Tribolium castaneum: one gene and its partner. The protein of the gene in region 1 purifies or fractionates together with the protein of each later gene. This does not show direct contact. Links are inferred from orthologs where the notes say so. Each region holds a gene or a part of one and is shown in the gene's direction. Other genes may lie near its edges. The genes, in order: U2 snRNP-associated SURP motif-containing protein and calcium homeostasis endoplasmic reticulum protein.

Region 1 (4,386 bases):
TTAGTTTGAAAGTGATGGAGCCATGGGGGCCATGATAGCTCGAAGGAATATCGTAGGGTAAATGGTACGAAAAAGGGTACACTTGGCGCCCCCTAGACACCTCCCGACTCCCAGATTCAGACCCAAACAACATCTGTTTAACATGAAACACGTCATGATCCCCGGTTAAAGTAATATGTCGTGTTTTAGTGGAATTGTCTGTTGGGTCCTTATACTCCTCAGTCCCAGTCCACTCATTATGTTCCCTACATATGATCTCAAGTTTTATTCCTAGAAAAAAATGTAAAAACACATTGCTACAAAAATCATAATGCACCTCTAACAGTAGTCTCTTCATCAAAATAACACTCAAGCCGGCCCCTAATCTCAGATCCGGCATAATATGTCCCAGAATAATTCTCCAAACAAATGCGAACTTGAGACATTTCGCCCAAATTGTGGATCACCCCCTGTATAAAAATGTGTCGTAAAATCCTAACCTACCTTAGTGTTTCATGAATGAGACAGTTTATTTTAATAAATCAATTATAAATCATCCACGTACCTAAGTGAAGAAAAACCGTGGCGTAATTAGACGTAATTCATTTCTTTTCACCACTTCGACGAGAATTCAGCCTTGAATGGCGCCACTGAATTGAATTAAAAATAAAAACTGGTTGAAATATTTGAGCCCATCCCACTAATGTGAGACGAAGAGGTCGTAAATTGTGGCCATTGAAGTAAACAAGGAAGGAGAATTGTGACTAAATGAATGAGATAACGTAAAATGCTGATACGACTACACGTAAACACTACTCTATCGATGACTACGAAAACAGTTTTTCGCCCTAAAACTGCAATTCAAGTGCACTGTTATGCAATAATACTAATAATGAGCGGCGACCTCTAAAGCGGCCTTGGCAGTAGTGATTATGTAATTAGCGATTCACATGTCGTAGAGACTATTATTTCCCAAAATAAAATGAAAATAAAATAGTAATGATTTTTTTTGTTGATACAAATATTAATTAACAGTCTGCGTTTTTTATTAATTTATATATATTTTTTATTTGATGAGTTTATAGGACGATTTATGTGAAAATGATAAACACATAATGAAGCTAATGACTTGAATAATTACAGTAAACACAAACATTTTGTTTATTTTTGAAATAAACATAGTTACGAGATTTTGGAGTGTTCTTGTAGGCAACACGTAATACACCCATTTTTTATAAAACGTTACATAATTACGTTATCAATTTTTAGTTTCGAGTTTTTTAGTTTTTTACAAAAAGTACAAAAACGTGTGGATATTGTTTTAACTTTGTTGTTTTTTGGTTCATGTATTTTCGCCCAAAGTTTGGGAACGTTTACACGCAGTGTCAGCGTCGCCAATAGCCCACAATATGAAAACGCAAACTCCCTAAAACCACCAGTGTATTATTATTTTTTCATATCAGGAAATTAAACAATTATATTATGACTATTATTAGGTTTCCTTCAATATTAATTAGCTAAAACCGTTTTGTGAAGTGTTTGGTGGGAATTGCGTCCAAAATGGGTGATAAAATAAAGGTAGTTCACCCTAATAAAACCCCTCAAAACTAACGTTTTTCTCGTAACAGAACATTCCTGAGCAAAAATTAAAGGCTTTTTCGATCGGCACGATGGGGAAACGTTCGTTATCTAAAAAAGAATTAGAGGAACAACGGAAAAAAGAAGAGGAACGGGCTGCGGCTCATGTAGGACTAGTAATACAGTAGTATTTTTTACATAACCTCTTCGATTTAAGGTTTTTGAGGAATTTGTCGCTACGTTCCAAGAGTCCCCTATTAGCAGCTCGAGTAAAGTGTGGGTCAAAGCGGGGACTTACGATGCAGGAGCGCGAAGTATTTTTTAAATTGTGAAAAAAATCAAAAATAAATTGGGCTTTTGTAGAGGAGGATACTAAAGACAAGGGCAAGTTGTACAAACCGCAGTCCCGACTAGCCCCCACTGAATTAATGGCATCAACGGAAAAAGCTCAGTTTTACGCTAAATTAATCTCAGATAAGAAGCCTGAACGGTTAGGGAAGAAGAAACAGCACACTAAGAGCAACCTAGAGGCGTTTAAAGAGGAATTAAGACAGTAAATATACCATTGAGTTGGTCAAAATAGACAAAAATGTAGTGATAAGCGTAGAGCTAAAAATTGGTACAGTTCTTAGGTACACTATTACAAATAAAATATCAAAAGTCCCCACCGATCCCACGTGTGCTAAAAAAGTTATTCAATGTCAAAGGACAAAAGTATCGGTTTTTGCATTTTTTTGTAAAGCCGGAATTATGCCAAATGCAGGAAAAAGCGCCTGTATGGTCTGCAAATGTACTTATGTTTAAATGAACGCAAAACAAAATGAATGATTTTCTCTCTCCGTAATATAAATTTTGAAAACTTAGGAACAATAAAATACTTAGGCGTATTATTTGACCATATCTTGATAAAACAGTTATGATGAGTTTATTACTTGACGTGTCCTATAAATTAATGTAAATTTTCTAAGGATAAATAAATTATTATTGTTATTAAAATATTTTTTTAGCACACGTCGGATCGGTGGGGAGTTTTTTTATAGTTTATTTGTCATAGTTTACATAAGTCCTGTACGAATTTTCACCGCTATGCGAATTTTTGGAAATTGAAATGTCTATTCTGACCGGTCTCTTGTTTTGTGGCACAATTTGATGAAATTTTTGCCAGGATTCAGGAGGAGCGGGAGGAAAGACACAAGTACAAAGGGGTGCTCAGGACCCCCATGGAGTCCGAGCTGGACATGTTTTTGCGGAGCGGTGACTTGGGGTCGTTCGATAACGGCGACCCCACAACGACAAACCTCTACCTTGGCAACCTCAACCCCAAAATAACCGAGCAACAGTTGATGGAAATTTTCGGTCGTTACGGCCCCCTTGCTAGTATTAAAATAATGTGGCCCCGCTCGGACGAGGAGAAGGCCCGGGGCCGCAACTGCGGCTTCGTGGCCTACATGAGCCGAAAAGACGGCGAAAGGGCGCTTCGTAACTTAAACGGCAAAGAAATCCTAGGTTATGAAATGAAACTTGGTTGGGGAAAATCGGTAATAATCCCTCCACATCCCATTTACATCCCTCCCGCGCTCCTGGAACTGTCCTTCCCTCCGCCTCCCTCAGGACTGCCCTTCAACGCCCAGCCCTGCGCCCGGGATAAGGACGTTCTGCCCAAATCTGCAGAGGAACTGAACGAGATTTTGGGGCGCAGTGTTGTCAAAGTTGTGATTCCGACCGATAGAAATCTGTTGATGTTGATACACAGAATGGTCGAGTTTGTGGTTCGGGAGGGGCCCATGTTGGAAGCTATGATTATGAACCGGGAGATACACAACCCTAATTACAGGTTTCTTTTCGAAAATCAAAGCCCGGCTCATATCTACTACCGGTGGAAACTCTACTCCATCATGCACGGGGATTCACAGAAAGAGTGGAGCGTCAAAGAGTTTCGACTTTTCAAAAGTAAGAATTTGGTGTTTTGGACGGTTTTGCTCTAAAACGTGTTAATTTTGTGGAGATTTCGCGAAAACGCTCTCAAACGGCAAAATTATAATCTCCGTCAAGACATGATACACAACATACGGATACAAATAAACTTTGAAAAAAGTTGGGATATTATTGAATTTTAAAGAAAATCCACAGAAGCAATAAAAATAATACCATTTGTGTTTTTCTTTAAAGTTCTTTTTATCGTTTAAAGTTGTTCTGGTTTTATATCCTCCAGTAAATTTTGTCACCTTTAAAAACATTTATTCTTAAAAAATGACGTATACTCTGAAGTATATGAAGGACATTTGTATTGTATGTAATTCGTATGGATAAAATTATATAAATGGACGAGTAGTCATTACAGTTACAATATATAAACAATACAAATAAAATATGTAAAAAAATACCAAAAAAGAAAAAACTGACAAAATAGAGACATAACACTTGTACAAAACATTATAAATTACGAAGAAAAAGAGACTAAATAGATCGAATTGTAGAGTTTTTGGTCGGAAATTATGAAAGAAAATATCTAGATCTTTTGTAATAGAATTATATAATTTAAAACATTTCTTGTTTGCTTGCGAAGACGGTTCAATTTGGAAGCCCCCTCTGATGAATTCGTACACTGCCGGGATGCCCGATGAACTAGTGAACGACGACGAGGGTAAAGAGAGTACGAAAGGCTCCCTCTCTAACACGTACGTAACGCGTGAAAATATGCAAAAACTAAGATTTGATTTACAGGCAACGAGACCGCTTGGAAGACCTGATACGGTCCCTAACCCCCGAACGGAGCAAAATCGGCGAAGCTATGGTCTTCTGCATTGAACACAGTGACGCTGCTGAGGA
Region 2 (3,500 bases), on another chromosome or scaffold:
TTTTAATTTTTTTAAATTAAAAAAACTGCTAAAGTCTGATAGTAAATTTTAAAATAATTATTCATCGTTTTGTTACGGAACGATTACCTCGTATAAAACATAAAAATATAAAAAAAATATGAAAACTAAAGAAGTTAACACAATAAGTTTGTAGCTCCAGATTTTTTAAAATATACTTTAGGAATTTTTTCAACATTTTTCCCGTAATCTGCACTTGCTTCTCAATAACGTACCACGCCAGTTTTTGAGCACCTTGTATAAGCCGTTGCTTAATATAATTTTTTCTAAAAAGAACTGAAGACTAACCCCTTAGTCCAGATTGTTTCCTCCTTTTCATCCTGAGAAATCCATTTCAGTAGCACATACTAACCAAAGAATTTGAAAGTTTTATCGATTATTTTATTGATTTGTGATTTTATGCACACTAGCAAAGAACAAACAGATTAAAATTAAACGAGACACTAATGATTGTGTAAGGATATGGATAAAACGTCACCAATAAAAAATATAATCTCTGCTGAGTTGCCGCATTTTTAAGCTTATTTCTTGAGCAAATAATTTCAAGCGAAATGTTTAAATATTCGTAACTTCCTTATTGTAAAAGATAAACAATTAAAACAAAGCCACTTTTTAAGAAGAATTTAATAATATAGACGCCATCTTTTTCCAATTATTTGTTTAGTGATATTTAATAAGACAAAATAGTACAATCTTTTCAGAAAAAAACGAACAATGTTACTATACAGGGTGAGAAAAGAAACAAATACCATGAGATCGGAATGTTCTGAATTAGAGCACGCTGTATTTGAGGAAGCCAGAATTTAGCCGCTTATTTACGGCTACACTTTTGAGCTTATCTTATTTTATGCTGATTTTACACAGCATAAAATAATAAATAATGTAAAGTATATTTTCGACCTCATATTATTATGTATATATTATGTATTAGGTTTTTTAGTCGGCGCAAAAATAAACATTTGTAGTTGGTATTTTCAAAATTTCTAACGGATATAGAATACAGTTACTAATTCTTTCAGTACTGCGTGAAGTAAGTAAAAAAATATATTCCAAATCTTTTATAAATTTACCTCTGTTGGGAATTTCTAAGCAAATTATTCCTTATTGTTAACTGCATTAACAAAATTCTGATTAGATCTTTTTTCCGAGCTGTATTAACGTCACTTATGATTTCCTCACTAGTTGGCACCACATGTCGTATTGCTTCAGGAGGCCGTATTTAATATTACTAATGATTTTGTCATAAACATTTTTAAGTCTTGGTTTCAAAAAATATATTCGAATTAGTTGCGGTTTTGGATTAATGTTTGTCGTGCTTGAAAAGTGAGACATTTGACGTTGATGGATCCTCGAAGCTGTTGAAAGTGTAGTGCGAAACCGAGTGTCCACTTTGTTCGATGTCTCAGATGTACAAATTAATTAAAAACTAGATTTTGTGAGTGTTTCCGACCATGTAATAGTTTTTGACACACTTATTCTAGTTGGAAGATACATCATATAAACCGTTAGATCCTAAAGATATTAGGTTGCCACCACCAGCGCCCCCTAGCGATCGTCTCCTGGCCGCTGTGGAAGCCTTTTATTCACTACCCAGCCACGAACGGCCCCGAGACAGGTAAAACATTGACAATTAGGTCACATTATTGTCTCAATTGACATTCACAATACAAAAAATACTATACTTTATAACTAATTATGCTGACGTGTCGTTTCTCTTATAAACAATGTGCGTTGTAAAAACAGTGAAGGTTGGGAAAAGCTAGGTTTGTATGAATACTACAAGGCAAAGAACAATGCGAAACGGCAAAAGGAGGAGCAAATCGCCGCCGGCCTCCGCGAGAAGTCCAGAAGCCCAAGCCCCATAGTCCTGCCAATGGAGAAGGAGCCGTCGCCGCCCAAACGACGGTACACGAGCAAATCGCCCTCGCCGCAAAGGCGCCGCTCGAAGTCCCGGTCCAAGTCGCGCTCCAGGTCCAGGAGTCCGCGCACGCCGCGCAGGAGGCACTCGCGGAGCGGTGGCCGGAGGCGGAGGAGCGTCTCCAGATCGCCCTCCAGGTCGCCAGTCAGGCGCTCGCCATCCCCGCCGCCAACCCTAAGTTTCAGGTACAACTGGCATTTTCAAACGAAACGACCACTCACTTTACTTGCAGCAGTGCACCACCGAGTTTCGTGCGGAACGAGAAACAGGAAATCGACTCGACCAATAAGGGACACCAGATGTTGCGGAAAATGGGGTGGGGCGGGAGCGGCTTGGGGGCCAACGAGCAGGGCATCGACGCCCCCATCTCCGGGGGGGACGTGCGCGATCGGCAAGATCAGTTCAAAGGTGTAGGGTGTAATTTGAACGATCCGTATGAAAACTTTAGGAAAAATAAGGGGGCCGCGTTCATTACGCGAATGAAGGCGCGGGCCGAGGAGAGAGCCAATGAGAGTAAGTTACTTGACTACTAGGGTCTTTCATTATTTTGACTGCGTTTTCGTACCGTATTTTCCGTGTTAGAGCATCATTTTTTACTTTACTTTAATCAAACGTAATGTTCCGGTACCTCTTTGACTGTTATGTTGCGCAAGTGATTCTCACGTATTGTAAAGAAAGGTATGTAAATAATTGTAATGTACAAATCTACGTCGACTAAATAAAAATCCTATTTTTAATTAAGTCCACATTCATTGTATTATATGAGAATAAATTGTTCCAAACAATTTTGGTTTTACTGTATGAGTGAATAAAACAAACACCCATGTTTCGACAGTTTAATACAAGAACCACAGATTTGTGACCTACATAAAAATAAAAACCCAATATAAAGCGAATAAATCAAAGTTACGATTTTAATACCTTCATTAAGACTTAGCCTACTTATGCTAGATGATGGGGGGCTGCCGGCGACGCCACGGCCGCCGCTTGTGGACTCGGGGGCGTGGGCGTGTTAGTCGGGGCCCCCTCGTTGGGCGGCGCTGAATGCGTCATTTGCGGCTGTTGCATCGCCCACTGGCCCTGATCCGCTTGCAGCCTCTGATGCGCCTGCTGGCGGGCCCTAAACTCGGCCGCTTTCAACTGTTCTAAATGAAACTGTTGCCGTTCCGTGATCAACTGTTGCCTCTGATACTCCAAACCCTCGCGTTCGCGCTCCATCGTCGTCTCCAACTCCTCAAAGTGCCTCAACTTAATCTCCAACTTCTTCATTTGCGTTTCGACCAACAACGCAACCAGCGACTTGATCTTGCGCTCCTCAACCGCCGCCAGATGCTTGGCTTTGACGGCGGCGGCAGCCAGAGCCGCCGCCGCCGCGCTCTGCATCTCGCTGTCTTTCACAGTCCGTTCGGGCTTCCGCTCCGGTTCCTCCGGCTTTTCGGTCTTGACGGGTTCGCTTGGTGTTTCGCTCTTGACCGGCTTGTCCTCCTTCTCTTCTTTTTCCGGCTCGGGTTTCTTTTCTTCGCTTTTCTCTTCTTCTTTATTCTCGGGTTCTTTCTTGATTTTC

What was found.
Region 2: the proteins of U2 snRNP-associated SURP motif-containing protein (region 1) and calcium homeostasis endoplasmic reticulum protein purify together in Homo sapiens (affinity purification with mass spectrometry; 4 studies listed by BioGRID and IntAct, with this or other methods). This does not show direct contact. The link is inferred for Tribolium castaneum from reciprocal best matches to the Homo sapiens genes U2SURP and CHERP.

Annotation. Positions count from the first base shown.
Region 1 is NC_087403.1:337,089-341,474, forward strand, and holds the start of U2 snRNP-associated SURP motif-containing protein, read left to right. Parts: upstream 1-1,369; 5' UTR 1,370-1,539; coding exon 1,540-1,557; intron 1,558-1,607; coding exon 1,608-1,724; intron 1,725-1,774; coding exon 1,775-1,871; intron 1,872-1,920; coding exon 1,921-2,110; intron 2,111-2,722; coding exon 2,723-3,507; intron 3,508-4,123; coding exon 4,124-4,235; intron 4,236-4,281; coding exon 4,282-4,386. Other genes in the region: arrestin domain-containing protein 3, read right to left, coding at 1-270, 317-425.
Region 2 is NC_087395.1:15,657,103-15,660,602, reverse strand, and holds the end of calcium homeostasis endoplasmic reticulum protein, read left to right. Parts: intron 1-1,499; coding exon 1,500-1,633; intron 1,634-1,761; coding exon 1,762-2,121; intron 2,122-2,168; coding exon 2,169-2,469; 3' UTR 2,470-2,721; downstream 2,722-3,500. Other genes in the region: mor (SWI/SNF complex subunit SMARCC2), read right to left, coding at 2,879-3,500. UniProt on the Homo sapiens protein: Involved in calcium homeostasis, growth and proliferation.